Linked DNA regions of Solanum lycopersicum. Each later gene encodes a partner of the first gene's protein in a complex. Links are inferred from orthologs where the notes say so. Each region holds a gene or a part of one and is shown in the gene's direction. Other genes may lie near its edges.

Evidence for each region.
Region 2: sister chromatid cohesion 1 protein 2 (region 1) and sister chromatid cohesion 1 protein 3 share a complex: the UniProt entries of both Arabidopsis thaliana proteins name them as parts of the cohesin complex. The link is inferred for Solanum lycopersicum from reciprocal best matches to the Arabidopsis thaliana genes SYN2 and SYN3.
Region 3: sister chromatid cohesion 1 protein 2 (region 1) and sister chromatid cohesion 1 protein 1 share a complex: the UniProt entries of both Arabidopsis thaliana proteins name them as parts of the cohesin complex. The link is inferred for Solanum lycopersicum from reciprocal best matches to the Arabidopsis thaliana genes SYN2 and SYN1.

Annotation. Positions count from the first base shown.
Region 1 is NC_090801.1:70,969,783-70,973,925, reverse strand, and holds the start of sister chromatid cohesion 1 protein 2, read left to right. Parts: upstream 1-1,236; 5' UTR 1,237-1,612; coding exon 1,613-1,736; intron 1,737-2,219; exon of another isoform or gene 2,220-2,504; intron 2,505-3,110; coding exon 3,111-3,396; intron 3,397-3,538; coding exon 3,539-3,576; intron 3,577-3,673; coding exon 3,674-3,711; intron 3,712-4,143. UniProt on the Arabidopsis thaliana protein: May be involved in sister chromatid cohesion during mitosis.
Region 2 is NC_090800.1:77,428,471-77,432,621, reverse strand, and holds the start of sister chromatid cohesion 1 protein 3, read left to right. Parts: upstream 1-1,232; 5' UTR 1,233-1,459; coding exon 1,460-1,583; intron 1,584-3,502; coding exon 3,503-3,764; intron 3,765-3,837; coding exon 3,838-3,884; intron 3,885-3,977; coding exon 3,978-4,027; intron 4,028-4,120; coding exon 4,121-4,151. UniProt on the Arabidopsis thaliana protein: May be involved in sister chromatid cohesion during mitosis.
Region 3 is NC_090805.1:48,875,394-48,879,617, forward strand, and holds the start of sister chromatid cohesion 1 protein 1, read left to right. Parts: upstream 1-1,338; 5' UTR 1,339-1,770; coding exon 1,771-1,823; intron 1,824-2,394; coding exon 2,395-2,463; intron 2,464-2,551; coding exon 2,552-2,610; intron 2,611-2,685; coding exon 2,686-2,730; intron 2,731-2,854; coding exon 2,855-2,874; intron 2,875-2,965; coding exon 2,966-3,042; intron 3,043-3,418; coding exon 3,419-3,539; intron 3,540-3,945; coding exon 3,946-4,015; intron 4,016-4,163; coding exon 4,164-4,224. UniProt on the Arabidopsis thaliana protein: Involved in chromosome condensation, pairing and segregation during meiosis. Responsible for cohesion between replicated sister chromatids.

The DNA of each region.
Region 1 (4,143 bases):
TTTTTATTAGTACGGGATTCAATTGGAACAAGCCTAAGAAGAGGTGTTTAAGTGAAATTTGCAGACAACTTTAAGTGGTTATCGATGACTTAAGCCATTTAAATATGACCATCATTATTATCTAAAATGATTTTCTTCCAAATATTGTAGCTAGCTAGGTATGATATGAAACCGGAAAAACTGAGTTCTTATAAAGTAAACAGAATAAATTTAACGACAGAGACATAAATGCACCTTTTCAATGATCAATTTATATAATTAACATAATTAAGTGAAATGACAAAGAAAGGAAGAAGAAAATTTTCATCTCACTTACCCAAAGTATGTAAATCAGTGAAAACGCGTTGAATTCCTTCAATAATTGCCTATAAATCAAATATCAAAAGAGAATTTATCAAAACATGAACATGTATTAGCTACTTACTATGTTTATTAGAAGGTTAACATTGTGAAAAGATGAATTTTAACCTCCGCAAAGATAATGAAAGTGATTATTGATCAACTAATGTATTTAGAGTGAAATGAAAGATTTATTTGATAGTTGTGCATTTCTCTCATAAAGTCATAATCAATACCGTACAACTCTTCATTCGCCCTCTTTAATAATAGAAGTGAACAATTATAGGTAATGGGAGAGTAATTTAGATTAGGAAGAAAATCAAAAGCCAAAAAACTTATGAAACAATATGATATAGTTATTATTTAATATTTAATTTATTAATAGTTTATAACATTTTAATTAAATATAGGAGTAAAACGGTAATTTGATTTTTTCCTAATATTTTTTTAATTTATAATAAAGATAAAATCGTAACCTTAACTTTTAATTTTTTTTATTCCCAGTTATAATAATATATGATATGATAGATAAAATTACATTAACCAAATGATAACATTAAAATAATAATTGGTTAATGATTCTGGAAAAGCATTAGGAATTGACAATGGCCGTGGGTGATAGGGGTGTGTCGAAATGACACGTATTGCACTCAAAGTACATACACAAGTTACCGTTTGTGAGGAACCCCATAAAATCGATAAGAACAAACGTGTCTTTTAAAAAAAAAAACTTTTTTTACTGTAAATATATGAGACTACGGAAAAAAAAAAAGAATAACTTTTAATTGAATGCAAGAACAAACCATATTTGATTTGTCTCCAAATTTTAATTGCTTGTTCCTAAGCTAATAATATAAATAAATACGCTATTTCTAGAAAGTAGAAATCCTATTTTTTTTTTAATTACATTATTAAAAAAATGCTTCTACATCTACAGTCAGAAGCATGAAATATTAATTACTAGTTCCCAAGTATGCCTAATCAGTTACATGAGCTCTCAATAGAAAGTTATATTTATTTGGTCATTAGTGTTATTTTATGGTGAGATAGGGGTTTATTTGGTCGTACATTCCAAAAACGGAGAAACACATTTCGAAAATTAAAAAATTGTGAGACTTGTTTGACAATCCACTCCCTCTTCTCAAAGGGCTAGCAGTTGAATGCAGAGCCTACACTTTGGTTCATCTCATACATAGAAAAAATTTGTAAGTAGAGTGAGGCATTTTTGTCTCTCTCTTGTACAAAAACAAAGATAGGTAAAGAGAGAAAGAAGATGTTTTATTCACAGTTACTTCTTTCAAAGAAGGGGCCTTTAGGCACCATTTGGATTGCTGCTCATTGTCATAAACGTCTCAAGAAAGACCAAGTCCAGCAGACAAACATCGTTTCTTCTGTCGGTGCGTTTTCCGTTTTCCTGTTTTTTTGTTTACCCCTTTCTTCATCTTTGATGGAGACTTATTACAAGAACAAAAAGTAGTCTTTTTAATTAAGATGGTGTTTTTTTATCTTTCTTCTTCTCCTGTAAACGCTTTTCTCCTAACCTCTTTTCTATTTGTATTTATTTTCTTCATACATTAAGACAGAGTGAGAGGTTGTTTCTTTACCCTTTAGAGAACCCTGATTTCTAATTTAACCACAGTGTTATTTATTGGAATTTAGTGTTCTGTTGACTTACTAGTAAAAAGAGACGTGCTGCTGACATGAGTTTGGCGGATTTCTTTACATAGCTCTCGCATGCACAGTTCATATAGTTTATTTTTGTCCCAAATTGCAGCTACTAGTTACCTTTTGTCTCCATTGTGTTAGATGTCATCCCTACATCAACTATAGCCTTCTATTTTTCACATATAGTTGGATGGCTGAACAGTTGTGCTCAAATTGAGTGCTAAAACCATACATTTTTAAACTAGATTTTTCGTAAACCACTGCTTGTCAATCACATCGGAAAGTCGTTGGGTCATTAGAGACCTCTCTCGGCAAATAATTTTACCACAATGCCCCAATTAAGTACTACCACTTATAGGAATCTTCTTTCCTAGTAGAATGCCCCCCATGAGAAGAAAGAATATTGTGGTGCTCAGCTTCTCGTTGAACCTCGTGGGTAAACTAATGAATGGAAGAATGTGATTTGATCACAGAATAGAATCGGGGTTTTGGTCATGAAGGTGAAATAGGTTCATGTGTGACTGACATTTTTTTTTTTTTGGAAATTTCACTTAGTTTGCAACTTCTAGTGTTAGCTGTAACAAATGCTATAGTTGTAACATGGAATTCACAAGACTCAGTGTAAAATATTAATTACTTGGAAATTAGCATGTCTTCCGAGCCACGGAAAATGGTTTCTGGCTTTATGTTGGATTGTGAACCTTTGCTGCAAACTTGGGTGATTATAGGTGGTGTTAAATGCTGTCTCTGTGAATTCCCTGGATGATCTAGGTAACTGTTTTTGGCGGGGTTATCGGAAACCTCTCTGCCTCCGTAAGGTAGGGGTAAGGATGCATATGCACCATCCTTTGCAGACGCCACTTGTGGAATTACATCGGGCATGTTGTTGTTGTTTGCAATCTTGATTACGTTCACATGTTTATGAATTGCTGTGTATATACGTAATGAATGTGATTATTGTCTTGGGATCTTTTTTATTTCAGATTCTTGACACTGTTTGATTCTGTTTTTTTAATTGCAGCACGATGCACATAAAAGTAGCATTAAGAATTTTAATCATTTCTTGAGTGATTTAGATTTGCTTTACTGGTTTTTCCTTTGCTCAGAGAAAATTCTGCATGATGAAGCTCCTGTGGTCACATACAGAATTTTAGGTCACCTGCTCCTGGGTGTGGTTAGAATATATTCGAAAAAAGTGGAGTATCTTTTCAAAGACTGTAATAATGTTCTTGTTAACCTTGCTGATTTTTCAACTCGCAATAGACCAACTAGTAAACCATCAGTTGTAAGGATCGCGGGTATGCATGCTCCTGTCCACTCTATCACCCGACCAAAGAAATTTGAACTGGATACTTTTGATCTGGAAGTCTTGGAAGATCAAGACGCAAACAGGTAAAATAAATACTTTCCATGAATGACGTGGTTTTCCATGTTAATTTGTATGTTTTCCTTTCTCTTTCTCCTTGTGTTTTTTCTGATTGTCGGTTTGGGGTTTAATTATTTCAATCTTGGTTTGCAACAAACTGTTTTGAAGTAGTCATTTCGCATCCCGTGAAGAAATCACGCTTTCCGGTACAGTACATTTCTGTTGTCTTTTAATTCATGGTTACTTTTTTCGGCTTTATGTCACTTACTTTTTTTAAAAGAGAGTTTCTGCTTTTTGTTTCAGATGCTCAGGAAAATTTAGTTTTTGGCTCATCTTGCAAGGTAGTCATTTTATGAAGTATAATCATTTCTTTGGTTTGTTTTGTTAACAGCATGTCTCGGCCTTTGAAACTTTTCCAACAAAAGAAGGCAGCATAAATCACTTTCTGCTTTGTGTTCACTTAATACCACTATCACTGCTTAGCAAGATATACTACTGTTTTCCCTGAATATCTCATAGTTTATGTTAAACTCTTTGCTATATGTTGTTAGAACCTTAGGATTGGTGTAGCACATCGAATCAGTTGATTGATTTTAAATTATTATCTGCAAAGTGGTTAGTGGAATTTGTACTTGTCAAGATACATCATGGATTCACGAATTCACGTAACTGCTTTTCTTTGAACAAGTACTGGACAGTGTTAGTGGTGCTGTGTTTAATTTGAAGAAGTTATTTGATGGATCAAACTGGTTCAAGTTTCTGATGATACTTGA
Region 2 (4,151 bases), on another chromosome or scaffold:
TATCATATATAATATATCATGATGATATATTTTTACTCAAATCATATCCGAATACAAAGTAATGATCACATCATAATAACAGATACAAAATTATGATACATGCAGGTCATTTACCACTAATACATCAACAAATACGTAAATCATATATGACATCTTACAAATCACATTGATTATATCTCATATAAATTGTTACATAGATGATAGAACACACAATTATGTATTATAACTTTAATATTCCCACGTTCCTTTTTTTTCCTTCGTAGGAAGTAAAAAAATCCACTAATATTCACCTTTATTTGGGGAACTTTCGCAAAAAACTACTATAATAAACTTAATTATGTTGTCTGGTTTGCAGTCTATTACACAATGAGGGTTTACATAGTGCGCACAAAGTGCTCACACGAAGGCTAGAGCCTATGACAAAGGTTGCAACAATTGCGGGTTATCTTGGGGTTAAAAAAAAATAATTATGCTTCATAGCTATAATTTACATATTTACGAGTTGTAGCTATAAGATTGTATAATTTGGAGGTATGTTTTTTAAATCGAGCTATTTTTGTATAAATTCAAAATAACAAATTTATACAAATACAAACATTTGAACTTTAAACAAATATACAAATTATATTATATAAAAGTTATAAAAAAATTGATTTCATACAAACTCGAAACCCCACCCCATGTAACTATTACTGAATATTGGACACAAGTGATAATTAACTAGAACTAAAGTCATAATAACTAATTAACCAATATATATTTGTTTGATCACACAATTCTTTCTAATCTAAACAGTGTCATTTAATTAAGAGAAAATACATAAATTTACCCTCACATTTATATATTTTACTACCAAATTTATATATTTTATGGTGGCAACAATAGTGATTTCATGGTGGTGTTCATCAAAGAAGAAACAATTGTTATATGGAGGATTTTAGTTAAATTTTGCCATGACATTTGATATGGCAGCGATATAACACTGATGTGATCCAAGTGTGATACATTTTTGAGAGTAGTACTATACGTCTCATAGATAAAAAAGTTCATTATTTAGTAGCAGAGGTATATAATAATTTAAAAGTGTAACTTACTTTTCGAAACAAATTCAAATGTGAATTTATATCATTTTACCCTTTTAATTAACGCGATTAAACAGAAGTGGCATCTGCGTAAATAACCAAAACCAGTCGGCCCTTTTAAGGAAACACAAAGCGTCAAGTTATTTTATTGCCGCATTGGCGCCACTTTCTCCCGCGGTTTCTGTCTCAGAACCTCAAAAATTTCGAACATAAAACCCCAATTAACTATACACACAGAACTGAGGAGCCGAAGAGAATTAGGTCATTGGAGAATCCTCTGAACTGAAAAGGGTCGCCGCCGTTCGCCGCCAATCACCATTAATCGCCGCCAATCGCCATCAATCGCCGTTCTTGGTTGTTAATTTGTTGACGGAGAAATGTTTTATTCGCACACATTCTTGGCTCGGAAGGGTCCATTAGGGACTGTATGGTGCGCTGCACACTTGCAACACAAGTTGAAGAAGCCTCATTATACTTCTACTAACATTCCATCTACTGTTGGTAGGTTTTCTAATGTCTTTTTTTTTTCTTGAAAAAAAGGGTCCCTTTTTATTTGCCCCATTGCCAAGATTTATATTTTATTTCAATGGATTGCTTTTTTTTTTGTTTTGTTTCTTTCTTGGGATTTGAAAAAAGAAAAAAAATGATTTTGCTAATTTCGCTTGGTTGACATACGATTCTTGTTTTGCTGTTAGTTGGGGGTTTCGTGAGATAAAGATTTGCTCTTGTGAATCTTTTTAATTCAGCTTGGAAGTTTTTATATAAGTATTTGTACTTCAAGATTTTCTCTCTGTTATAGTAATGCTAGTTAAAGGGTTAGATTGAAATGTTTTTTTTTTTAATTCGAGTCATTGTTGCTGAGTGTTGATTGAATGTAATTTTATGTATCTAATGTTATTTTTGTTGCTTGATAATTAGTTTATTATTCAGTTCTTGTTTTGCTGATATCAATTAGGATCTTTCTGTGAGATGAAGATTTATTTTTTTACATTAAAGATTGCATTTTTGATTGAAGTATTGAAATTTGGTTTGATACGGAGGTTTTTATCATTTGCAAAGATGAATTGATTTCTAATTTAGTGGAGACATTTTCTTCTGTTCTAATCATGATAGTTGAACTCTTGGACTAGTCTGTGCTTATGTACAATGTATTGTCACCTGTGTTAGTTATTCATTGATCATTTTAAGGAGGTCAAAAAATGAGGAACTTTCATTCTTGAAATTTAAGCGGTAAAATTGTCTGAAGATATGCATGTCCCATACATATGATAATGATTGAATAGGGGGAAGGAGGACATGATGGGCTGTTTTTTAGCTGTGAAAAAAATTAATATATTGAAGGAGACTGGACTACTTTAACTCTAAGCATAAAAAATTGGAACTTGAACTTAGACACTACATCAACTCTTAAGTTCTTAGGTAAGAAGGAGAGAACAAATTTGTTCATCACACAAATAAAATAAGGTCCATTGGAATCTTTTGTATGATAAAAGTGAACTCTGAATCTTTCTCTTGAAAGAGATTAAAGATTTGAAGTTTAGATGATTCTACCCATGACTTTATTTGGGGAAAGGATCCAATTTGCTTCTAAATTATTTGAAATGTAACTGTGTTCTTTGTTTCGTGTTGGGCACAAAAATGCCTTTATCAATAACCGAATAGCTCAAAAATTGGCCCGTTTCCATTTCTCGATAAGTGATAGAATATAATAAAGATAAGATGGCATTTATAGGGAAGCTTTCAGGGTGTAACGGGAAGGGGTTGGACAAGTCAAGTACATAAGTATGTTCTTAGAATTTGAACATAATGCAAATAACAATACCAATCATTAAAACAATTTTTTGCTTGATATTGACTGAGCTATAGAGAAAGAAAGACGTAATTGTCCCATTTCATATAGTTTAGGGCTCAATTAGCCCTTTTTCCATTTGAGCTAAAGCAATAGTTAGTGGGAGGTTATTTTTGAGCTACTTGGCTAACTATGAGGACATTTTTTAGCTACTTGATTGACGATAAGGGTATTTTTGTGCCAAAACTAACGGAGGGCAAAGAGGATCCCCTTTTGAATCATTTAGGGGCAAGATGGGATTTTTCTTTACCTTTTTATTATGTCATATTATTTAGGAATGTTGCAGATTTATCTTATGCTGGACACTAAATCTTGAACATATTTAACCTTAAACTTTCAGTGGTACAAATGATGTGTTTTTTCTGGTATATGCCAAATGTACTTTGTTTTAATTAGTTAGTCTTTGATGCTTTCTTGGGTACTCCGTGGAACAATCAAGGTGCGTATAAGCCAGAAAGGATGTATAAGTTGCTCTACACAAGTACATAGCAGTAGCTTTGATATGCATATGATGTTTTTTTTTTTGCTGATGATACTGTTCCTTTTTTTTTTTTTTGAAATCTATTTGTAGAGCGCATCATGACTCCTGAAGTACCTATTGCACTGCGAACATCTGGCCATCTTCTACTTGGAGTTGTTCGGATATACTCGAAGCAGGTTGAATACTTTTCCGAGGACTGCAAAACACTACTAATGGGAGTTATAAAGGCCTTCTCGTCTACAAATGTCAATCTCCCAGAAGATGCCACTCATGCACCATACAGCTCCATCACTTTACCAGAAACATTTGAACTTGATGCCGTCGTTTTTGATGAAGATCTTGACCTGAATAGGTAAGTATCTGTAGTACTTTTTTAGTTGTCATCTTGAATCTGTAGTTAGTTATACGTGCATTTGGAATTCCAGGATTAAGGATACTCATGTTAAAAGTTACGAAGAGATAACTTTGGAAGGTATGTATCATGTTTACTTTAACTCTTCTTTTTTGTATCTTTTTCTGTTTCATTTTCAATTGAACTTTCATTTCTGAAATTTTCCATGTATAGATCAAGTTGTATCGCATGAAGATCAGTATGTTGCTATTTTCATTGATGAGGTGGGTAAATCTTTTGCTTCATAATTAGCAGCGAAGTTTCGATTTATTCACTTAAGTTGCAACACTAGTTTGACAAAGAGTTTGTTTTTACAGGACATAGTGAAGAGTTTGTCAAAATCAGGTG
Region 3 (4,224 bases), on another chromosome or scaffold:
AATTAATCTTAAAAAGTTTAAAAGTTATTAATATTTTAATTAAGCTTATACAATCAAATATTTAAATATTTTATAACAATTTAATTTATAAAAAGAATTATACTGAAAATAATATAATAATATAATAAATAAATAATAATAATAATATTATTATTTTCCTTTATTTTTATGAAGGATGGCTTTTTCGTGCTTTAGACTTTACTAACATTTTCATAGTCATGTTTAATGGGTTCTTTTCTGGTTCAGTGTAATCACTTCTAACTTTTTATTTGTAACAATTAAATTAGGCCTAAGTCATCTGCAGCCCCTTAAAGTTGTCCACATAATTCACTTAGACACCTGAACTAGGACTTATACCTATTGAACACCTAAATTATCAAGAAATGTGCCTATTAAACACAAAACGCTGATGTGACAAAATAAGTGTATTTCACTGCTGCTGAGCGCGTGAATACTTTTTTTTAATTTTTTTTAAAAATATTAATACCTACTTTGTTGACGCTTGGCATGCATTGACTAAATATATATAAAAAAATAATTTAATTAAACATAAATCTTTTAAATCATTAAAAAAAAAAAACCCCACACTCATCTTCCTTCAACCCACCATTTAAACTACCATCCATTCAATTCCCCCAAAATCCCTTATTTTTCCATCCAAAAACAACATGAAAAAATCACTTCTCTTAGCAGCCTCTGTTTCTGCTGCCCACCGCCACCGTCACTTCTGTATCCGAAGTTCGAAGTTCGAATTTCTCTTCACAAGGACGATAATTTGAAGAAAAATGAAGATTGTTCAAAATCGGTGAAAGCATCAACCCACCATTTTAAAAACTTCAAATTTCTCTGTCTTTTGTTATGATTCATTTTTTTTTTCATTTTATGTAAATAAAGTACCTGTTGAATTTTCAAGAAGAAGAAAAAATGGACCATTTGAGAAATAGCATATAACGAAGAAAATGAAAGAGGACAACATTTGGTGGATGAATTCGGAATGAGATGGGGTTAGGCATTTTTTTTTGTTATGAAAAGAAATGGTGATTGTGGAACAACAGAGAAGAAGAAGAGAAGAAGATGAAGAAAAAAGGGTAGTAAGTTAGATGGGGTGGGGGTTAGGGTGGGGAGAAAGATTTTTTTTTTTATCAATTTAATTTTTTATATATTATTAAAGGAAGGAAAATATTCTTTATCTTTTAAAATTAAAATTATGGGCCCATATGCCACGTGTCGTAGTTCTATTCGTAATTTTTGTCAAAATAAGGAGTGTGCATTACACGCACAATATTTGTAAAGATAATTATTATTTTATGTTTGATAGGTAAATATTTATTAATATTAAAATGTCTAATTGATAAGAGTCTCAGTTGAGGTGTCTAAATGAATTATGCGGACAACTTTAAGGGCTATCGATGATTGGGCCATTAAATTAAGCCTCTTGAACAAGAATAGTAGGGGACACGTGGAAGCCATTCAGGAACGATAGCACAAAAATTCCATTCACTTGAGCTGTGACTTGAGTTCATCAAACATTCATTCTGCAATAGGGTGCGGTCCCCACAATATACTCTGCAAAATGCAATCGCAATCGCTTCTGTTATGGCGGGTATACTCTACAGTATATACAGACGCACAGGCACAAAACACACACACTTTCACCTTTCTCACTTTGCATATGATCTCCCTCTCTCTCTCCAACTATATATACAAAACCTTCTAGCTTCAAGTACTCTGCAAAATCAGTGCTGAAATTTCCTTCTTCACGACGGCAATATGTTCTACTCTCATCAGCTTCTTGCTCGCAAAGCTCCGCTCGGCCAAATATGGTGAAAATTGTCGATTACTACTTGTCATTTCAATTTTTTCCTTTCGAAATTCGTTATGTTCATATGCATACGCTACATTTTTGGAGTTTCTGATTTTTTACTTGCATATGTTGTATATCCTGAGCTAGATTGTCGTTCTTCTTTGGTCGCTGGTTAATGATATTCAGTAGCTTCTTCAACCTATTTCTCGTAATCTGAAGTTATGAGTTATATGTTAAGTTGTCACTGTTAAAATTGGATCTGTTTCTGTTCAGAAAATGCTTGAATTCAAAATTGTTTTATGAAGGTATTGATCCAGTTTACTACGGCTTTTGTTTTGATTTTCTATTCTAAATTTGTTTAATACATATAGATAAGTTGCATGTTTTGTGTTTCTGCGTTTTTTAACTTTCATATATCGCAATCCCTGTAGTGGATCCTCTTTTCGTCATTTGCTTTCTGTGTCTAATGTTCTGTATTCGTTGAAGTTACTTCATAGGATTTTGTGTATATGTTAAGTTCTCATATTTCAATTTGGCTACGAAGAATGCTTAAATTGAAATTGTTTATGATCTTTCTCTTTGCTGTGAAGGATGGCGGCCACTCTGCACTCAAAACTCAATAGGAAAAAGCTTAGTAAACTCAATATTATTAACATCTGGTGAGGCGTTTTCTTCTACTACTACGTTGAAATGCCTTAATTCCTTGTTGATTTTGAGTATTCGTCTTCTGCAATTTCTTTTGTCAAGTGAACAAATCTTAAATCCATCAGTCCCGATGGCTCTGAGGCTTTCTGGAATTCTCATGGGTATGCTTCGAAAACCACTGACTGTCCGCAATTGCTGCTTTTGATTTAGATATCTAATCGACAGTTCTGTTTCAGGTGGAGTAGTCATTGTTTACGAACACAAAGTGAAACTCCTATACGGTATGAATTGCCATGATGACTTCATCATTTCAATTTGAATTTCACGTTAATTCTTTGAATTCTACTCCTACTTTACCCTTCCTTATTTCTTCATTTTTTTTTCTTTATGTTTTCTTTAATGCAGAGGATGTGACTCGTCTCATGGTAGTAACATTTGTCTTCGATCCTAATCAAATTAATCTCTTTCTTTGCTCTGTTTTCATTAAATTCCGCATTTATGATTGGGTACTTTCAGGTGCAAATCAATGAAGCTTGGAAAGTCAAAGCAGCTACCGATCCTACGTTACTTCCCAAGGGTAAATCGCAAGCCAAGTGAGTAACTCATCTCCAATTCGACGTCACAGTATTTTGCCGAGAAGCAGAGATTGTAAGGCCGACTTTTAACAACTTCTAATACTTTCAGTTACCTCAATAGTGCTTCAGTAAATTAACAACTAAAGTATGACTGCCACCAATTAGTTGAAATGATTAACTCAATTTATTATGATTTCTTTCACTCAATGTTTGGGTCAGTTTCATCAATGAGTTATTTAAGGCCTGCTTATGCTGTGAGTCCTTTATACCTAAGGTCTTTGTACTTAAAAATACCTAGTTTAGCGATGAATTGGTTGTAAACATTAAATTCTGATTCCTGTGATTGTTTTTCCTAATGTTGATGAATTTTCATTCCTCATTTCAATTCCTGTAGGTATGCAGCTATTACTCTGCCAGAGAATCGGGAGGAAGAACTCCCAGAGATTGAACAGACATTACGGAATCCAGACACAGTCACAATGATGGATTTCGAACAAACCTCCTATTTCACGATGGTACATTATGGAAAGCTCTGTCACCTCCTCAATCCACGAAATAACTTCAAAAGCAGAAACAAAAATTGTTAGGAAAATTAGGAATTTGTTCGAACTGATCTAATTAAAACTATTGAGCTTGCTTTAGATTGTTAAATAAGTCATATTTCATTATTCAGCAAGTCTGCAAGCTCAACAATAGAAAGTTAACAATGATAAAGTTGTTTGATTTCCCTTCGCCTTTTGGTTACTCTATATGTTTTGTAGCTTGTTCTATGTTATTTCCACTCTTGGGTTTTCTCAGTGTTCATGACCTTGTTGAGTAGGCAATCTTATCTGATACCACTTGGATAAGAGCAGGAAATCTTAGTGAAAATCAGATCACTACATGAGAGTGCAGCTAAACTTGCGGATGTTCAATGTGCAGAGACTAGATAATGCTGATCTCTATGATAAACCCAATGCACAGGAGGAACCTGCTAAGGACTTGCATCAAGGTACACCTAGATCCCACAATCAGCATAGATTATGCTACTTTCACCATCACAATAGAATATATAACTATATCCTAGTCAATGCTACTTTGTTTTCCAGTTTTGTCTTGTTGTGCCCATCTCTAAAACAATCCTGAAACCCTTGTTGCAGTTGATCCAGATAATATCACCCTCGCTGAACGCTTTGAATCCCATCATACAGATATGTTCAA